Linked DNA regions of Arabidopsis thaliana. The protein of the gene in region 2 interacts with the protein of the main gene of each other region in a pairwise test. Each region holds a gene or a part of one and is shown on either strand. Other genes may lie near its edges.

Region 1 (3,845 bases), on a different chromosome or scaffold from region 2:
TATATATAGTCGATATACTGGATATATCTTCCAACATCTCTAGAGGTTTTACTCAAAACTTCAAGAGAAATATATATGATGCCAACGAAGGGGAACATTAAATAAAAAAATAAGATAAACAAATTGAGTATATACATGTGATGCATAAAATGACATATTCATCTGCATATACACTAACACATCTAACACACGTATAATTAACGGATAAATATTACAACGTACCGATATGAAGATATTAGTCGCAGAGACTCAAAATATGTTACTCTTTTTTAACACTGCTGTTCTACATATTCTCTATATATACCATGCGTAGATAGATATGTACTGACCATTTGTGATAATTATGTTAAACAGAGTTAGGTTAAAAGAACGAAAAGAATTGACCGGTAGATTTGGTCTCTCAAGTCTCACTTGTGTCTTCAATAGAAAGTTTGATCTTTCTTTTTGGAGATAATCAATCAATAAAGATTATGGAACATGTTAGGTACCAACTAATACTCTTCAGTTTAATTATCTCATCTGTAATCGCTTTTCTCTAGAAGTTATGGCCTACTATTCTTGTTTCAAAACAAAATGCTCTTGTTTTCTTATAAAAGAAACAATTCCTCAGTTATATTCAGACCATATATGATCTTTGGTTTTCGAGTCCTTGACGAAAAGATTTGACACTAAATTGTATAACCTTCAATAAATTGGAGTTGTTGAGGATTGGTCCTACCTCACATTGTTGCCTATTATCTGAGCAAACAATTTTCTTGGCCATCTAACATTGTGGTTCCACTTTTATGAATGTACATTGATGACCATTAACTAACCAAAGAACTAGGTGTATTTATAATACATCAGTTGTCTTTTCCTCGTATTGAAGATCTCACTTGGCAAATCGCAATGTCCATTCTTTGGCTACCTCGTCATGCTTTTCTCTATCTGTCAAGTAGAGCCGTGCAATCACCGGTAAAGCTGGACTATCTGGTCGATGAAGAAGAAGCAAAAAGAATAAGAACAATAGAGATTTACTATGGAAGTTAAATACAGTAGTTAGATGCGGACATCTATTATGTTTGTTGGCCAAAACTCATCACAAACTTTTTTTTAAAAACGTTCTCTTAGGTAGATCTGACATGAGCTGGTCATTTCATCAGAGGACTTGAAATGGTCTGATCTGAAGCCTGAGAGTAGAATAGAAACTTACAGGGTTCAGGTTTTAAGAAGATAGATCTGATGGCTTGTAAGACTTTAGTGATTGTAAGGGCTGGACTCCAACTATCTCTTAGAATGTTCACACTTAAATCTCCCGCAGTATCAACATTGCAATGGTAAATCCGAGTCTTGAACACCAACTGCAAATCAACCTCACCAACTTAACCAAAAAGACAGATGTAATAAAAGTGCAAGCTCTAGATTAGTACCTATAGCTTGACTATCACTAGACCCAAAACTTCAAGAAATTTGCTACAAAATGTATCCTAAGACTATGTTGAAAGCAATAAAACTACATAATATGCTAGACACTGAGAGTCTGAGACACTAGATGATCTCTGTTTCAATGTGATGCAGTTGAAGACTCATTGATATTCACTAAATAGTTCTTCCTAAAGAGATCATCATTAGAAATCAAAACTTCTAAACCTTAAATCATTACCAGCTAAATCAGTAAAGCTCCCAAAATGTGTTAACCAAAGAATCCATGATCATACCTTAGGTGGCTTGAATGGATAATCAGATGGGAAAATTATATCCAGGAAAAAGATCCCTCCTTCATAGGGAGTTCCTGCAAAAGTTCCATAAACACCAAATTCAAAGACTTGAAAACCTAACAAATTTTCAATCGGATTATCTACAAATATTCAAAGAGAGTATCAGAATTAAACCCGAAGGACCAATGATGGTGGCGATCCAATGGTAGAGATTATCTCCTTTTGGACCAGCTGAGCAATCAGGAGGTGGATCAATGTTAAGCTCAGCCATCTCCCTCTGTATCCTCTTCCCTGACGCAGAAACTGAAGTCTTCGCTACCCAAGACGACGCCGTTCCTGAATATCCGGCGTACATCGCCGTCGGTAACGGTCTCAACCTCCCGCTTCCGCCAGGTGTCATCATCTCCCGTCGTCGTCGTCTTCCGATACTCTCTGCTTATCCAATCCACCACTTGATCGTTTCGCTCGCACTCCATCGGGAAAAGATTTCGAAACGCCGCGTTTTTGTCCGATCAATTAAACAAATAAAGTAATCGCTGACGTGGAGATTAATTTTGTAACATGTATTTTTTATTTTTATTTTCTCTCACTAATCACTATCAATAAATTTGTAATCATTTTGACAACCAAATTTATTTAAGTTGAATTATCGAATATTCTTGTCCTTTTGTGTAATGTGATCATGTTATAACCACGTGAATCCTTAATAATTTGATAAATGATTATTCAAAGTTCTTGAAAAAGGCACACATTTTGGAAAGAAAATTGAAATTATCCAAAATCAATTTAATTTTTGTTTAAACATAATCAAATTTACTCTGTCAATTTTTATGAATAACATGATTTACGTAAACTCTCCTACAATGCACTGATTCATTTGAATATGAAATTTAAATCACTCTAATTCGAATATTTTAGTTCAAAGATGAAGACAAAAAAAAGAATGGGAACTTGTGAGCCCTCTTTAGTCTCTAGTTACACTTACACTAAAAACAAAGTACACAGTAACTACCGGTAACCGTAAGAAATCCAATCCAAGCCACAGGTAGACTTCCCCGGTTACTACAAAACCGCTTTTTGGCAAACGTTCTACAAAAGGCGGTCATGCTGAAGCAACAGTTGTAGTAGAGTGAGAGCTAACGGTGCCAATATGGGAAGATGGTAGCTAAAGATGATACGTGCGTTTGCGTTTCCTCCCAATGGACTTGCGGGTCCTAACGCATCCGGAGGAAAGTTTCCATTAGTAGCGTTTGCGTTTAAGCTGAGATAAATGGAAAATGATTTCAAAGAGTTAGGAGCAGATTTCATTTTCAAAACTTAACAAGACATAAATTTAGTATCGTTACCTTCCCGTATATGCACATGTTCTATAGCCTGCAAACACACAAGCCATCGAATTTGAGATTTACTCTGAGGAAACAACTTGAAAACATAGAATTATTGCAACACATAGATCAGAGGAAATGAGAAAAACTTACTAGGATCTCTAGTCGTAGTGATAGCCGTACCATCAAAGTCACAAGTTCCACCTGCACTTTTCATCTTCTGGTAATAGTCATTGAAAGCAAAAGAAGCATGGCTCTTAACATCGTTAGGGAGGTAGCAAGGTTGGCCCGGTTGAATGGCAGCGCAGTTAGCTCGGCCTTGACCACACGCCCAATTCAAACCGTCAACCAACTTATCATCATCAGCATCTGCTTTAGCCACGCAGAACATCGATGAACCGTTTAGAGCTGCGGAGCTAGAGCCACCACTCAAACTCAGAGGGTAAACCGAGGTCCCATTTGGAAACAAAATCCCCCAGTTTCTTTCAGAGACTGGTCCTGACCGCTTGTCTTCATTGTACAGCTCGTAGATGTAAGTGTTTATCGGTATGTCTGGTTGACTAGGAGGACCTGAGTTGTTCAGCACTCTCTTGATCAAGTTAGTGTTGAATGTCTCCGCATTAGCGACTGTTGCAGCCGCTTCATCGCTTCCACCAGACGAAGGCCAGCCTGTTTCCGTGACTACAACAGGAATCTTGGAGAAATTCAAAGCTTCCATGGAGTAGTAAGCAGCATCAACCATAGCATCAAACATGCTGTTGTAATGTAAAAGCGTGTTGGGATCAACAATCTGCTTCACCGGAGAAAGCTGCTTGAACAAAGC
Region 2 (7,702 bases):
CGATGAGTCAATATATTTCCATTTTTCTTAAATGTACGTGTAGATACATTTAACTATTTCACAAACCGTAGTATGAATTTTATTCAATTGTCTTTCAGTTGCGTACAATATTGATCAGCCATAGTTAAATGTCGTTAGGGACGTTCATCAAGTAAGCAATTTGATTCTCTCTGTTCTTTCTTTAGTTATTTGGTAGTGGTAAAAACAGAAATGCCTATAATGTAGTGTAAAAAAAAATCCGATTAAACTTAAGATTTAATTGCCTAAAAACGAAGAAAAAGCTCTAAGAACTATCTCCATTCAAATAAAACTCAAAAACGAAAACAAAATGGAATCAGCACATAGAAAACCCTCGAAGATATATAACCTATCTTAGGAACTTTATTGGAAGTTTGAATTTTTTTAAAACAAATCAGTTATTTTTGTAGGGAAACAAAAACATCTTTTAAGTTGTATAAAAATCTGAAAACAAAGAAGTCCCAAGAAAGTATGTTCAAAAAAAAAAAAAAAGTGAGAACCGAGGAAAAGTGAATCAAAGTAAGAAATAGAACTTAAGGCTGTACATAAGAACGGGCGGAACAGCGAGAATAGAGATGATTGGAATATCGAGAGTTCTTTTTTTTTTTCAAACTGATAAGAAAATTTCGGTCATCGTTTGTTTGTCAATAAATATACAAAAAGGAAAATATTCAAAAGGTGTGTTTACCAAAGAGATTCTAAGCAAGATAATTGTATATCTGAGGGTTGCTTTTTTCCCTCTCCAAATATTCTCGATCGATCAAGCTCTCAATCCTCTTCTTCAGATCAGCAGGCTTTATCGGGAATTTGAGCTGCAAATCACAAACATATATCCATTCATAGCAATGGTATATTAAATTTAGTAGACTACTGAGAACTCTAATCATCATCACGAGTATATTACCAATAGGACTGGACCTAGTAACGAATTTCATGCTTTCTTTTTTCATAAACCGACATGTTATTTCGGATTTTAAAATCATCAAGCAGGAGTGAAATTTACCTGTTGGAAGAGCTCAGTGATTAGAAGAGTATGGCTCAAGACTTTTCTTGTCTTCATAATACGAACAATGGCTGCATCGATCTGTAAGAGAAGGGTGTGATGGGGAAAACCATTTTGTCAAAATCTTTTCTTGTTTAAGAAGCCAAAGTTGTAAGAACGATTTCAGAAATTAGTATCGTAAAGGAAAATGGAGAGCAGAAACCAACCTGGTATTGTCGGTCCTGGAATACTCTTTCCGTTGTACTTGTGTTCTCCTCTACTGTCTCTTTCATCTGGATCGCATTTACCTGCACCCAGGAACAAAAGAAAGAATTGCTTCACTATAAGCTACATACAAAACAGTATCACAAGATTCTAGGATACTTTAAGTGAAGAGACCAAGAAAAAAACCAACGTACCTTAATGCGATACAGCGGAGCTGCAAACTCATCATTAAATTCAAATTCATCACCGTCTTCTACATCTCTTCCCTTAGGATTCTGCAAAAATATTTACACAATAAGGCTTATCCTTATGGAAAAAGGCAAAGCCATAATCTCGGCAGTTTCTGCATTAGCTGAAAAGAGAGTTAACAGAGTCCAGATTTTGGCCAAACCTTCTGCAGGACACGGACTTTCCCACAAGCAAGCGACTGCAAAGTCCTCCTCAGCTCCTTGTCCTCTATGCTGGTGGAATCTTTAATGTCTTCAAAGCTAAGTTTCATTGCATCGTTAAATAACATTAACACAACAGCCTGAGACAAAAAGAAAAGAGCAATTGATTAACACTGTAACCTCGGGAAGACAGGAAAGAGCTTAAAAGGGGGGGGGGGGGAAAAAAAATTTGACTGACCTGAAACAGGGAAACAGCCAGCTCCTTTTTACCTTTGGAGAAATCTGCCTTTAAAACACAGTGGCCTAATGAATTTTGCCACATTAACCTCCTACCACTGTACTTGCTTAAATAGAACTCTTTGAAGATATCCTACGAAACATACAGATAGCTTAGAAAAAGCTTGTAAGAAAACGTCCAACGAGGAAACAAAAAAAAATACATAAGAAGAACTTTTAGTAAAACCTGATAGACATTTAGTTCATGAGGAAGCTTAACATCCATAGGCGGATATGTTGGCCAGTACCTGTATTATAGACGGGAAGTTAACAAGCTTTATATATGTCATGATATCCGCATTCCAGCAGTTATATCCTGGATAAAATTGATACATTGTACATACCCTGTTGTTAAAACGTGGACACTCATCTCAATTCCCGATGGCAGTTTTGTTCTGGCCTGGGAAGATTGTTTGAATGACTCGTTGATTTCCTTTGACAATTCAATATCCTGGAGAAAATTTCAATAAAACGGAGAGTTCAAGCTCATTAGGATTATTGTAAATGTACACAAGTTCATTAAAATAAGTATGGAGCAGGATCATCCGCCAATCCTGTCTTAGATTGGATTAACAATGAATATGTATACCGGGGTATATCGTAAAACGTAACAAAATATAAGATCATTAAGTTTGTTCCTTAGTAAAACTTAAACGACCAACATCTTTTTTGAATATAGAGAAGGAGAAGAAAGGATACCTTGAACATCCCTTCGAGCTTGTTTGTAAACTGGCTACCACACTCAGTCTTAAGCTGTAGGTAAAACCAAGGTTGGGATCAGTGGGTGAGAACTACAGATATAGAAAACAAATTGTGGGAAAGGGAAACACCCAGAATATAAATCAGTTTTTAACCTTAGAGATCATGGATTTCTCAGCATCGATTGAAGCACTCTTTCCCAACAGGAGTCTCTTCGCAAGATCCTTTTTGTAAAATGCTTCGAACACATCTTTACCCTTTGATAAATAATAAAAATCCATCAGCAAAACCGATATCCAGAAGATCAAATAGCTGGTTTACAGACCATGCACTGGCCTCGAAGCAGTGATTTACAGTGACAAACACAGTACTAAATGTAAGAAATTAGAGATAACCTGGATAAATCTGAACAAAACCAAGACTTTTTCAAGAACACTCTCCAATTCTTCTTCAGAAGTACCCTTATTCCCAGCACGGAGTTTCTCGTCCAAAAACTTGGCAATAAGCTCAGCTGGCCGGTTCTGTAAAAAAGATTATCAGCATAAGATGTATATTATTTGGGATGCTTGCTAAATCAGAGTATTTGGTATCCAAAGTGATATATATTAGCAAACAACACTACTGTGATCAGGTCCAGTGCCCACAAGAAGCTTGATCTCAAAATTATGTTTGAAAATAGTATTCACTGCCCAAAGATGTCTCCAAATCATAGCAATACAGTGCTTAATCAGTAACGAAATCTATAGATTATTATAAAATATAAATTTCTCGATTTCACAATTGTAATTTAAGGTTGACATTTCCACAATAATCAGTATGTTGCTTTTACATGAAAGTAAAATTATTAGCAAGAGACTCAGGCAATAATCAAGAAAATCACTATTTGATACCTGTCGAAGATTAATCAGATGCTCAAACGAATCTTTGATTGTGTTACCAAATGATTCGTTCTTGTAAAAGCTCTCTTCCCATATTATGTCAAGAGAAGCCTTGAAGTCCAACAGTGATTGTACCATATCTTTGTCTTTCTCTTCATCCATAACAATCTTCTGCCCAGTTTTCCGAACATATGAACTTAGCGCCTGCCTCAGAGACTCAAGTGCATTGACCCTAGAAAACAAGGTTTGCATCCTCTGAAGGTCCTCCGTACGACGTCCATCCATTAATGTTGTAAAACCCTGAAGATGTTCAGAAATAAAGTAAGACTACGACAAACTAAAATTGGATAATATGCAAGCCAACACAAGAATAATAGGAGATTGGAACCTTTTCAAGAACAACAAGTATATGACGTTCGAGAAGTTGCCTTTCAACAGTTGTGATCAATGGTTTCCTGGTTACTGCATCTATGTAGAGTATGCATCTCTCATTCTCTTCATGCAACCTTCCCTGCACCAATCACCAGTAGAAACCTTAGAAAGACTATTAACCTGTAGTGCAGCTAATCATAAGGAAACTATATGAAGTCATGCAAGGCACCTCAACATGCTTCAGGTACTCCGGAACGTCAGACTGCTGCATGTATTTCATTCCTTCAGCGGCATAAAATTCAGAGGTCCCTTCAAGGAAAGGTTTCTCAAAGCTTTCCATATAAATTCCCAGTGCAGTAAACATCTTCAAAAGATGGCTTAGTAGAGTCCTATTAACAGCTTCTGCTAACCTGCAGGACCAATATCATGCAAGAAAGTTCAGCAGATTCAGATGAAAACATTATCCAATATATAAATGACATACACTAGTCCTGATTTGCCTTGAAATTTTACCTATAACAAGTTATCACTGCTAGACAGGAATAGTTCATAGACCATCCAAACTTACCATATTCACTCAAAAGCCAGAAAAATAAGTTGAGGTAAAGTGGCTTTATGAAATTATATTCTCAATGTGATAAATCAACCCTCGTTTAATTTTGGAAGACCAGAAGGTTAAAAATTTACCTTTCTTTTTCAATCATACTTAAGAGACCTTTAACCGTCCTCTGCTCAACTTCAGGGGCCAGAGAAAGATGCTTCCGGAAAAGCTGCAAACCCATCTCCCATAATGAACGTACATTTGGATTCTGTATCACATACTTCCTATCCAGAGTCAAGGCTATACTACGAATCATGAGCATCTGGTCACAAAAGTCTTGCCAGCATTTCTCAACACGTGACAAGAAAACAGTCAGATCAGTGTTCTGCCCAACTAAAGATTGCAAAGCTGCAGAGATGTGTTCTTCACACTCCTTCTCAATCTGGTCATAAAGCTTTCCATCCAACTTATGCAAGCAAAGGTTATCAACAGCCTGAAAAAACAATCACAATCTCATCAGCACGACATTTACACATACGAATAAGAAAGGAAGTAAGTAAATTTGCACGTAACCTAACCTGGTAAAGGCTCTCGAGGTCAAACGAAATTTTTTTTTTGAGGAATATAGCTCTGATAGCTGACTGCAACTTCTCCCATGTATTCTCCTCAAAGTTTGTTGGTAGAGTTGGTTTGGCTTCACATATATAATACAAATGGTACAATCAGAACCCTAATTATGAAAACACTTTTATCTTCAATTTGCTAGCCAGTCACAGTAAAGATGATTCTCAAGATGTTTTCTAATGGCACAAATTAGGTTTGGTGAGAGCTAAGCCAACTAGATTGTGCACAACAAAGATTCCGGATCTTAAGTACCTAGATCAGGCTAGACAAAGAGATTCCAACTTAGAAGAAATACAAAAACCCAAATCACTCATTCACATCAAAATTCAACAGTCACACTCAATTTTCCACTGTAATTTAACATCAAAACTCACACAAAACTTCCATCAATCGCAAGCCAATGAAAACCCTAAAAATCACGAACCTTAACAATTGTATCATTTCAAATCAATCCAGAGCATCAATTGCACAGTAGAGTAAAAGACCCAAATCAAATCCTAAGATTACGATCAAAATCGTAAAGATGAAAGAAATCGAAATCGAGCGAAACCTTTATTGAGCTTGATTACAAACTTCTTAGTAGGTTGCGGAAGTGTAGCTTTCTTCCGAGAGAGATTAGCGGCGGCGGGAGTTGGATCTTCCTCCATATGAAAGCCAACAACCTTGTCGGCGGTATTAGGGTGTTGAGGGGAATGGTGGAGGTCGTTTTTGGCCTTTTTCATCGGAGGAGAAGAGTAAGAAGAGTCGTCGGAGGCAGAAGCGGCGGAGAAAGTAGAGCGTTTGGTAGGAAGAGACATGAAAATGGGTGAAAATTGTGTGAGAGAATCACGAAGAGGAAGAAGAAGACATCAATCCTAAATAATAACAACCCTTTCTCTCTACCAAAAGCGCACTGTGCACTCTCTCTCTTTTTTTTTTTGCTCAAACCTACGCGAAAACTCGCGATTTAGACCCGACCCGAGAAATGAAGATTTTTTGTTTATTTATATACTCTGAATAAAATCAGAATTATTTTATTTATACATTCATAAATCATAATTACTATATGATAAAAAAAATATTATTGATAAAAATAGACATATACCGCAATGATTAGATGTGCGTTGTTTTAATGGTTACTAATCACAAAAGTGAAAAACAAAAAAATAAAAAATAATAATCAATTGTTGCCTGTTTTGTATGGTTATTTTTTATAACTACTTTTAAATTTTAACTACTTTTTATTTTTAGTTTTTGACAACTGATAAATCATATCTATTGTATATTTTTAGAGTCGAATTTTTATTAAGTCATTTTACGATTTAAAGAATAAAGAATCGATCACACGAGTCGATGCTTGATATTTAGATCATTTTTGATATATATTTTTATTTTTATTTTAAAGAAAATTGAGTTGATTTTTTTTCCATATATTTCTTTTATTTTTTAAAAAAAACTATTTTAAAAGAATATATTAGAATAAAATGCCTATAAAATAGACTCACCTATAACGTGGAGAATGGAGATAAAAATAGAGATGATTAAATACTTTTAGCAGTCGGTAATTTCAGGCAGAAAATTGTGTGATGTTAAAAGACATGAACGAAGAATCATCACTTGACAATATGAATAAATATAATATGATCGATGTCATGGATTAGCCAATGTGGGGCGTGTTGACTTGCTGCTCCACAGGGTTTTTGGACTTCCGGTTTAGGGTTTGGTTCTGATTACAAAATATGGGCTTATCAAATTATTTACAGGAGTTAATACTTTGGGCCTGATTACAAAGGTTTAACCGAAGCCTATCAAGCAGATAAGAGACGAGATGAGATTGTTAGAGCATCTCCATCGGCAAAAGTGGTAGAGAGTATCTCAAAAAGTAAATAAATTAATATTTTAATCAAATTAATATATTTTAATTAGTTTGAAGTAAATGAACTATTAATTGAATGACAACTCTCAATAAATGCTGAGAATAGTCTCTCTTGCCAGTTTCTCCACTTTTCTCTTCTTCTCTCATACTTTTTCTCTTTTTAATTATTATTTAATTGATGAGTATCTCAATCAGATATTCCGATGGAGATGGTCTTACAAGTGTTACCGAGACGTACCAATTGGCGAACTCATATAACTTGTGCTGTTGTGCGAATGTGTTTTGATTAGTGAGGGTTCTTGGGCCAAAAAACATGGCTGGTTTTTAAGTCGCAATTGCAAGGATGAATATTATTACAGCCACAGCCTCAACGACTGCATGGTCTTAAAACTTTTTATTACATGTTGATTAGCCTATGGAATTGTATAATTACTAATACAAAATGGTGTTCATTACATTCTCACCTCGCTTAAACTTACTAATAATTTTTTTTTATTTCTTTAATCCCTCATTAACATGTCAACACATTTATTTTTTCTTTATTCATGTTTCAAGACTATAGAATTTCTCAATTAATCCCAATTGATACTAATAATAGCAAATTGTAAGTCTCTTGGATCGTTGGATCAATATTTTCACATGCAAACATGTGAAAATGAGGAGTTATTGAAAAATTGTAAGCTTGACATAAAACAAACAATTGAACAATTTTAGCTTTGAATGGTTTGTACATGGAACACTGATTAATAAGATTGCGGATTAAAACCGCTTCTGTTTCACCATTTATATATTCTAATCGGTAGTCATGCTGAGATATAAAAGTAAAAATAAAATTGTTGTGGA
Region 3 (4,647 bases), on a different chromosome or scaffold from region 2:
AGACTTTGAATTGCTTGAACTCGAAATGATAGACTTATTGAAGCGGTTTCATAGTAGCAAGAAAAATAAAGACAACGAAAAAGAAACTAAAGAAGAAGCAAAATCTTACGATTTTTCAGAATTCACAGACGATAATTTTCTGGAGATGTGCATTCTTTGCGATTGTGACTATTTTAAATGGCCATTAACGGAGGGATCCGAAAGAGCATATGAAATAATTGGTACTAAAACTATACGTGGTAGAGAGGTACTTTTTACTTGGTTTAGTTCAAAATAGTAGTATACTATACATTTAGATTTTGTATTTGCATGTATGATGACATGATGTGTGTTATTCATTTTCTTTCAGGTAATAGAGGAACTACTAGAGGACAGCACTGACCTAACTTCTCATCTGAAAAAATTCATAATTTTGTTGCTTTTCAAATATTAGTATGTCTATAATCAAGTAATTGAAGAGCTTCAACACTTGAATGTGCCTGAGGTGTCTAACCTTCCATTCTTGCGTGACCGTGAGTCTGGCGATGAATTTGTCATTCGAAAGTATGAAGATTCTACGGGCACATATTTGTCAACAACTAAGACTAAGGAAATAGCATAAGGAAGACTTAATCCTGAAACCCACGAAAAATTTACACACGTGGAAGTGGAAGAAACAGATGACGAAGAAACTACTTAGACAAAAGTATCTAATAATTTGAATTTCGAAGTTCTAGTTCAAAATAAAGGAAGTCTAATTTCGACAAAAAATCTCACATCTATACCATATTTTACGGTTTTAGTTTTTTTTAGTCGTTAGCAACAATGACAATCAGTTATATTTTGTTAACTTTATAATCGTTAGCGATGACTATCGACAATGAAATCATGTTTATTTGGTAGTCGTTGGGTCGGGAACATTTAACAAATGATTTTGATTCAATTTTTTTTTTTTCTTATAAACCTTATCGGCTGATCTGGTTAGCCCTAGTAAAAACACACCGAAATGTTTTCGAGTGGACTTCTTCCCGAAAAACCACCATACTGTCTGTCTGTCACGAGTTTGAAATGCTTTCTGACTAATGCCAGGGGGTAGTCAGGCGGCCGCCTACATTTCTAATTACCAAGTAAACCAATTAAACCAAGACCCAACTTATACACTTACCAACTTTCAAGGAGAATCGAACTCGGGTCTAAGAGTTTCATCCTTCCCAAAGCTTCCCCTACCACTAAACCACATATACTTGGCCTAGGTTGAAAACTTTCAGTGATACAATTTTTTACTTGCTAATCGTTCAAAAATATTGACCATAAATTGTCGATGAACCAATGGCTAACACTATTTAGTTGGTTGGTCGCAATCGCATAGCATGTCCCTGACACAAAAAAAGCAAACAAAAAAAGAACTACTTGGATCAAACAAAGAAACCCATGCTTGGGCTCAGACTGAAAACAAAGTAATTGGGCCAAACCCATTTAGTATTAACCGACTAATCAAGTCCAACAATGTACAGCATGAAATAAACGCTACCCATTAACCGACTCAAATCGCACCAAGTCAGGCCCAATTAATCCTACACAGGCCCATTTAGAAGAAAGTTAACTTCCTCCTTAAGAAGAGAGAAGGGCTAAAAATCAAGCTTTCACGAGTACGGAAATTTACAGTATCTCCTCCATCTTTTTTTACTTTCCTCAGAGCTCTCTCCTCTCCGCAACTTCCACCACCACCAAATCGGAACTCTCGGCGTTCTACTCCGTCTCCGGCGTTACCTCCGTCGATTTCATCTTCTCAGGTTACTTAGGGTTACCTCTTTTTTGCTTTTTGATCGATAAAGTGTGATGATGTCTAGCGTTAACTCTTTTCGTCTTCGTAGTCGTAGTCTTAGGGTTTTGGTGGCGACGATACTTTGATTTATCAAACCGAACTTCTTCTTTGTGATCTTCGATGAATCAAAAGTTTTCTAAGGGATATTAATTAGGTTTTGTTACCGGCGATAATTAATCCATCTTCGATGCTTCTTCTTTACACTTCTGACTTTGTTTCTGATGTTTTAACCTCTGTGGAGAGCTTGATAGAGTGACATTGCTCTGACTAAGCGTTTTAGTTCAACGCATGGTTGATTCTCTTTTTACTAAGTAATGAATTTTGAGATCCTTGTTTGATTGCAGTTGGAAGGAGTGAATTGAGAAGGTCGGGCCAATATGGCGAACTTACAAGTTTCTGGGATACTCGAAAAGGTCTTTTCATCATCTGTTTCTAATTAAGCTTAATTTTGTTTTTGAGTATAGTCACCTTTTCTCATTGCTGTATTTACTATAGTTTCAGATGACGGGTAAAGATAAAGATTACAGATACATGGCAACCTCTGATTTGCTTAATGAGTTGAATAAGGATTCCTTTAAAATCGACCTGGACTTGGAGGTGAGATTGTCGAGTATCATATTGCAACAGCTCGATGATGTGGCTGGTGATGTTTCTGGATTGGCTGTTAAATGGTTAGCTTTCTGCTCTTAGCAACTTATGACCTAAGCTGATGTTATACTTTTACATTTAGCTGATCTATCGTCGACCTTTGATGTTATGATTTTGTTCCAGTCTTGCTCCATTGGTGAAGAAGGTTGGAGAAGAACGAATTGTTGAAATGACCAACAAGTTATGTGATAAACTGCTGCATGGGAAAGACCAGCATCGTGATACCGCAAGCATAGCTCTCAGGACTGTTGTCGCTCAAATTGCTCCTACGCTTGCTCCATCTATTCTTGTTACTCTAACACCACAAATGATAGGAGGAATAAGTGGCCAGGTTAGTTGTTGGGAGGTCTATTCCTTATTATTTCGATTGCATATGCGACAGTGCTTAGGGTCGTCCTAGACAATTTCGGATCCCATCAAAATCATATTGATTGACATCTATTGGAAAATTAGTTGATTTTACGTTTTAAGTTTTATTGGATCTAATACAGTTAAAGAACTCTGTCTGAAAAACTCTTAGTAGACCAGAGCACAGTATATGCATATAATTATTTGTCTACTCTAAGGTTCTATCATCTTATTTTACAAGTAACTAATTTTCTGCGTATTTACTGCTGAAGGGAATGAGCTCAGGGATCAAGTGTGAATGTCTTGAGATCATGTGTGATGTTGTTCAAAAATATGGAAGTTTAATGACGGATGATCACGAGAAGCTATTGAATACATTGTTATTGCAATTGGGCTGTAACCAAGCCACAGTCAGGAAGAAGACTGTTACATGCATTGGTAAGTTCATAAAATTGAGTCAATATGATTGCTGGGTACTGTCGGTACTAATGTCAATATTTAGCTAATTTGAAACCAACTTTAATCTGCCGAGACTTGAGTGGTAGCTTTCCTTATCTATATTAGAAATATGGTTTTCAGCTGTTTGCGTCAATTCTTGTGAAACCGATGCTAGTTCAAATGATATATTCAATGTCATTTTTTTCCTAGTCGTATATAGAACTCTTAATTCGATGGTATATAGCCTCTTCTAAGTTCAAAATTTTGTGTGGTGTCAGCTTCTCTTGCTTCCAGTCTGTCTGATGATTTGCTCGCGAAGGCGACTGTTGAAGTTGTGAAAAATCTAAGTAACAGGAATGCAAAATCGGAGATTACACGTACCAATATTCAAATGATTGGAGCTTTATGGTACTTCCTATCTTCCTTCTTATCGGCTTGTTATATATCTTTAACTTCTTACCATACGTTACTGTAGTGTTGTAGTATGCTTCGGTTAGTTGTACTTGTGCTACCTATTTATTGATTGGGATGAATGGTTATCTACGACTAGGCTTGCCATGGTTGTAATGCTATTTAATGCGTTTTTGTTTCAGCCGTGCTGTTGGTTACCGGTTTGGCACTCATCTAGGTAACACTGTGCCAGTATTAATCAATTACTGCACTAGCGCTTCAGAAAATGACGAGGAGCTTCGCGAGTATAGCTTACAGGTATCGTGCAAGATTCCCTAATGTTCCTACTTTCTCACTACGCTTGCATTTTTTGTTTTCTCATCTAATTTTTGTAATCAGACAATTACTTAGGCGTGCTTGTAGTCTCTTTTCTTTCCTATGCTATTAAATTGGAATTCTAATCTTAGGTTCAATAAAATTGGTATGAACAATGTAGACGATAACATGTCTGTTCTGAAATTTGACTGCAGGCACTTGAAAGTTTCTTGCTACGATGTCCCAGGGACATCTCACCATATTGTGATGAAATTTTAAATCTTACTTTAGAATATATTAGTTATGACCCGAATTTTACGGACAATATGGAGGAAGATACTGATAATGAGACTCTTGAAGATGAAGAAGATGAGTAAGTTCTGATTTATTCATTGGAACAGTAGCCTAGCTCCTTACGGTGCACCATTATCTCACTGAAATAAGTCTTTCTTTCTCACAGCGAGAGTGCAAATGAGTACACAGATGATGAAGATGCCAGCTGGAAAGTTAGGAGAGCAGCGGCCAAATGCCTAGCAGGATTAATCGTTTCGCGTTCTGAGATGCTCACTAAAGTATATCAAGAGGTATATCTTTTTTAAATGATCAAGCGTATTATCTTTCATGACGGGAGTGTACAAGATTCCCTTACACAAGAGTTTTTCATTCTTTTACCTGTGTTTGATTAAATATGAAACAAGAATCTA
Region 4 (3,977 bases), about 12 Mb from region 2:
GGCAATGGAGAAAGAGGGAGTGAAAGGTTTACCTTTGGTGGTGTCGGAGACCGGGTGGCCCTCTGCCGGGAATGGAGGCATGACGACACCGGCTCTTCAATATACGTACATTGGTAACTTTGTGAAGCATGTTGCAAGTGGTAAAGGAACGCCTAAGAGGCCAAATAGTAGAATTGATGCGTATATATTTGAGACGTACAATGAGAACCAGAAGCCAGTTGGAATCTATCAGCATTTTGGGTTATACGATCCTTACTGAGACGACGCCCATGTACACGCTCTTCTGATCCTCGATGTTGTGTTCAAGTGGTCAGTTTTTACTGTTTCTCTTAAGAATCTGTGTTGTCAAAATAATGCTCTAGTATTGTTTGTTTAGGGGTTGAAAGACCCATTTAATAAAACTTATGGTTTATAATCTAAGTGGGTTTCGAGTTAGCCTTATTAGAAATTTCACTTTAGTATTTGGAACTACTAAATTGAAGGAAAACACAATTGAGGATCAAAAGAGCGTTTGGTACCCAGCTCCTATGTTTTTTTACGAGTAAAAAACTCTTTGCAGGATTTTTACTTTTTAATTTTGAAATCAAAGACGTCACCCAAAGCACAACCATAATAGGTTTAGTGAACACTGAACAGTAAATCTCTGTTTCCACAAATTGTAAAATACAGTACCAAAAAAAGGGCAAAAACTTGAACAATCTTTAGTTATCATATGCGGTGGTAACCAAATGAACCTGATGTCTTCACGATTAGACACATGCTTGCTGGAACCATTTGTTGATTTAGTGACCATATTTCTGAAACTCCCACTCACTGTTATCTGTTGAAACAACTCAGCAATATTAGCAAACAAACAAAAACTGCATACTAGTCAAGAAGCTTAAAACCAAGAAACACATACCCAATGGACAAACTTGACGAGTCTTTAGCCATCTGCTGATGCAGTGAAAGTGGAAGGCGTGATTGCAAACCCCTGCAAGTACATATTGAGTATCTTTCGTTAGGGAAGGCACTAAATAATTTATGTATATCCACTTGAGTTGTCACATTATAGAAAAAAGATTCGAAAAGGTCATCACACAATCACATACATCTTAAAGGAATACTTCCTACTTTCTCTAATACTTCCTAGCTAACAAGATTCACCCTCCAAGTGGTCATCTTTCATTGAGCAATCAAGAATACAGAAATACTTATTGCAGTTATTTTGGTCGTCCTCTGAGTTTTTAATTCATCATCAATCGTACAATCAACTGCAAGACTATGAAAGCATGTAAACACAATAACTACAATTTGGTCTCTCTCTCTCTCAGAAAATCTTTAAAACTCCATAAATCTAATCAACTGTACTACTCATCGACCAATCTAGATTGCTGCAAAACAAGGAACAGGGTCTGCTCTCAAATAAAGCAAAGACATCTATCAGAGTGATACTACCACATAAGTAAAATTCAATGTCAAGTTTTAAAACACGCACTCAGAGATACTAAAATTGTTTCACACAACACTTTCGCATACAGTTTTGTGTTTCTAGATTCACAATTACGATAGCTACAATTATAAACCAAATCAAGTTTCCAAACAAAAAGCAACGATTGAGATCATGATCATAGAAGAAGAAAAATGCTTACCCCAAGCTACAGTGCACTCTTCACTTGTGGCACTGGCCTGATTAGCCTGACACTCGATACCTAACAACAAACCAAAACACAAAAACGAAATAAGCATAAACATTCAACATCATCGTTACAAATTCCAAAATCAATCGATTGTTTTAAGACTTACAAAGATCCATGATGTGGTTTCTGCAGATCGCACAGTTGTCAACAACGATATCTGCAACCAAAACAAAGATCAATCAATCAATAAAACTCTTAACCTAACCAAAAATTAACATCGTAACACAAACATCGAAACATCGAAAGACCAATTGAAGATAGTGTATAAGGATTTTCGAGGTTACCCCAAGCCCAGAGAGCAACGGCGCTCCACTTCTTAATTTCGAATCGCTTAGCTTTCTTGTTGGAAGACGACGCGGCTACGCTGCTGGAGGCTTCTCCGGCAGGAATCATGGTAACGTCGGAGTCTAGAGTCGCCATTAATCTCTGATCGGAAAGAAAATTTAAACCCTAGAAAAGCCGGAGAAAAATATCAACGTTTGAGCTGTCGCTGATTTTGTTGTAGAGAGAGATTGTAGAGGAAGAAGAAGAGAGATATATAAAGCAGCTTTGGGCTTTGCCTGTATAGTGGGCTTTCGTCGGAATTAGATTCCCGTAAATTTCCATAATTCGGTTTAAGGTTTCCTTTTTTTAATCTTACTCATCCTACGATTTACATAAATATTTTAATTTTTCCTTTATTATCCCAACGATTTTTATTTATTTAATTGATAAATTAAATATTTTTAAGCAAAAAGATTACGGAAAATATCTATTTTATATAATAAAAAAAACATATATATATATTTTTTTCTAACTATTCCCAGAAGATTTACAATAACTATATGACTAATTAACTAATCATTACATACGCTTAGTTCAAATTAACTGGAAAATCATTACATCATAAAAGCTTAGCGTATTCAATGCATCAAGATGTTAGAAAATAGTGTCAAGATATTTTTCTACAAGCCATAAGAGTTGCATATAGTTAGATGATGTATATGCTTCATGCCACCTGCCTCTGGTCTCTGAGAGCTGAAACTTTCTTCCGCAGTTCAATATTTGATATTCTCTCCACCTCCAGAGCTCGTTCAAGCTACACAATCCGTTGGTTTTGGTTTAGCCTCTCATAGTAAACAAAAGGGTTTGAATTCGATAAACTCGATATTGGCTTAAGATTTTTCACTATCATATTGCTGCATCTCTAAAACATACAATGAAGAGAGAGAGAGAGAAGAGAAGATTGTACCTTTGCAGCTCGCATACTCCATTCTCCAAGAATAGCTCTTAACCTTTCATTTTCTGCTACATACTGTTTCAGGAGTTTCAAAAACAAAAGATGATGAGTTCAGGGATCAGAAAAAATGTGTAGCCCTTGCAAATTGTTTGATGCAAAAACAATTCATGGTAAAGCTGTGTTGATGATAAACATGATGTGATGCTGTGAAAGTATGTTTTGTTCTCATATGTTCTTATGTTTATAGATAGACTCGAACCTGATTATTGGTATTCCGGACGTGTTGTATCTCTCTATCTCTCTCAGAGATCAGAGATCGAGCGAGATTAAGCTCTGAATGGAGTTGATCCACCTGCAAGACACACAATTTTCATTTAAAGATGCTACATCAAGGATACTAGCCTTGAAATGTCAATCAACTATGATATGTTTTCCACCAAATGGGTAAAAGAGAGATGAGAAAGAAAAATTAACCATGGGAATTTGCAAGTTTATCATTTGTTAACCGAGCTTTACCTCAGCAGATAGTGTTCGTAATTCCTGATCTCGAGTTGCCACAAGATGCGCCAGATCAACCTGAAAGTTTAACATTTATCAAATGCAAAAATTAAAATCCCAGTGGAAGGAAAAAGTTATACATTACTTTTAAGAAAATTTATTAAGAATGTTGTTAGAATGTGTACACGCTGATAAAAAGAAGTCAAAAATTCAGAATGGAGCAGTTCAAACCTGAGGCGTGCTACTACCATTCGTTTCATATTTACTTAAGGACTCCTGCAAACGCAGAATCTGAAACAAAACAAGAGAGGTCAGAGACTCACTCTAACGAAAGCATGGGAAAATTCAGAAAATTAGGGTAGACAATGAAGAGCTAGAGAGAGCATTGAACTTAGAATTACTAGTAAGAAACATCACAAGCATCAAGATTCAGAAATGAAGTACTCATGATAAATATTCCATGGATTGTCACCTCTTCACTGAGATAATGGAGATTCTCGCGTTGATATTGCAGTAGAGCCATTTGTTGATCAGAAAGGCGACCGGCTTCATGGTATCTGTGTTTCAAGCAAAAAAAACGA

What was found.
Region 1: the proteins of CUL4 (region 2) and FUS9 interact in binary tests that used the Arabidopsis thaliana proteins (3 or more experiments, as listed by UniProt).
Region 3: the proteins of CUL4 (region 2) and CAND1 interact in a two-hybrid assay, tested with the Arabidopsis thaliana proteins (one study listed by BioGRID).
Region 4: the proteins of CUL4 (region 2) and RBX1 interact in binary tests that used the Arabidopsis thaliana proteins (3 or more experiments, as listed by UniProt).

Annotation. Positions count from the first base shown.
Region 1 is NC_003074.8:4,422,698-4,426,542, forward strand, and holds FUS9 (Ubiquitin-conjugating enzyme family protein), read right to left. Parts: upstream 2,198-3,845; 5' UTR 2,101-2,197; coding exon 1,872-2,100; intron 1,772-1,871; coding exon 1,698-1,771; intron 1,341-1,697; coding exon 1,193-1,340; coding exon of another isoform or gene 1,131-1,192; exon of another isoform or gene 970-1,130; coding exon 872-969; 3' UTR 540-871; downstream 1-539. Other genes in the region: AT3G13560 (O-Glycosyl hydrolases family 17 protein), read right to left, coding at 2,787-2,958, 3,044-3,071, 3,176-3,845. UniProt on the Arabidopsis thaliana protein: Component of light signal transduction machinery. Involved in repression of photomorphogenesis in darkness by participating in the CDD complex, a complex probably required to regulate the activity of ubiquitin conjugating enzymes (E2s).
Region 2 is NC_003076.8:18,730,853-18,738,554, forward strand, and holds CUL4 (cullin4), read right to left. Parts: upstream 5,964-7,702; 5' UTR 5,802-5,963; coding exon 5,555-5,801; intron 5,075-5,554; coding exon 4,959-5,074; intron 4,874-4,958; coding exon 4,527-4,873; intron 4,250-4,526; coding exon 4,069-4,249; intron 3,979-4,068; coding exon 3,856-3,978; intron 3,768-3,855; coding exon 3,480-3,767; intron 3,111-3,479; coding exon 2,985-3,110; intron 2,847-2,984; coding exon 2,745-2,846; intron 2,644-2,744; coding exon 2,590-2,643; intron 2,342-2,589; coding exon 2,235-2,341; intron 2,139-2,234; coding exon 2,078-2,138; intron 1,985-2,077; coding exon 1,853-1,984; intron 1,755-1,852; coding exon 1,617-1,754; intron 1,501-1,616; coding exon 1,420-1,500; intron 1,309-1,419; coding exon 1,228-1,308; intron 1,103-1,227; coding exon 1,022-1,102; intron 831-1,021; coding exon 717-830; 3' UTR 519-716; downstream 1-518. UniProt on the Arabidopsis thaliana protein: Component of the CUL4-RBX1-CDD (COP10-DDB1a-DET1) E3 ubiquitin-protein ligase complex which mediates the ubiquitination and subsequent proteasomal degradation of target proteins. Participates in the CDD complex to light-mediated control of development.
Region 3 is NC_003071.7:688,164-692,810, forward strand, and holds the start of CAND1 (cullin-associated and neddylation dissociated), read left to right. Parts: upstream 1-1,620; 5' UTR 1,621-1,772; intron 1,773-2,148; 5' UTR 2,149-2,181; coding exon 2,182-2,217; intron 2,218-2,299; coding exon 2,300-2,475; intron 2,476-2,575; coding exon 2,576-2,783; intron 2,784-3,072; coding exon 3,073-3,238; intron 3,239-3,516; coding exon 3,517-3,646; intron 3,647-3,831; coding exon 3,832-3,946; intron 3,947-4,158; coding exon 4,159-4,316; intron 4,317-4,403; coding exon 4,404-4,527; intron 4,528-4,647. Other genes in the region: AT2G02550 (PIN domain-like family protein), read left to right, coding at 434-601. UniProt on the Arabidopsis thaliana protein: Key assembly factor of SCF (SKP1-CUL1-F-box protein) E3 ubiquitin ligase complexes that promotes the exchange of the substrate-recognition F-box subunit in SCF complexes, thereby playing a key role in the cellular repertoire of SCF complexes.
Region 4 is NC_003076.8:6,956,123-6,960,099, forward strand, and holds RBX1 (RING-box 1), read right to left. Parts: upstream 2,190-3,977; 5' UTR 2,100-2,189; coding exon 1,964-2,099; coding exon of another isoform or gene 1,910-1,963; intron 1,837-1,909; coding exon 1,786-1,836; intron 1,692-1,785; coding exon 1,632-1,691; intron 1,219-1,631; coding exon 1,147-1,218; intron 974-1,146; coding exon 902-973; intron 821-901; coding exon 783-820; 3' UTR 538-782; downstream 1-537. Other genes in the region: AT5G20560 (Glycosyl hydrolase superfamily protein), read left to right, coding at 1-259; AT5G20580 (TMEM192 family protein), read right to left, coding at 2,668-2,757, 2,911-2,973, 3,158-3,250, 3,415-3,474, 3,628-3,687, 3,869-3,953. UniProt on the Arabidopsis thaliana protein: Component of the SCF (SKP1-CUL1-F-box protein) E3 ubiquitin ligase complex, which mediates the ubiquitination and subsequent proteasomal degradation of target proteins.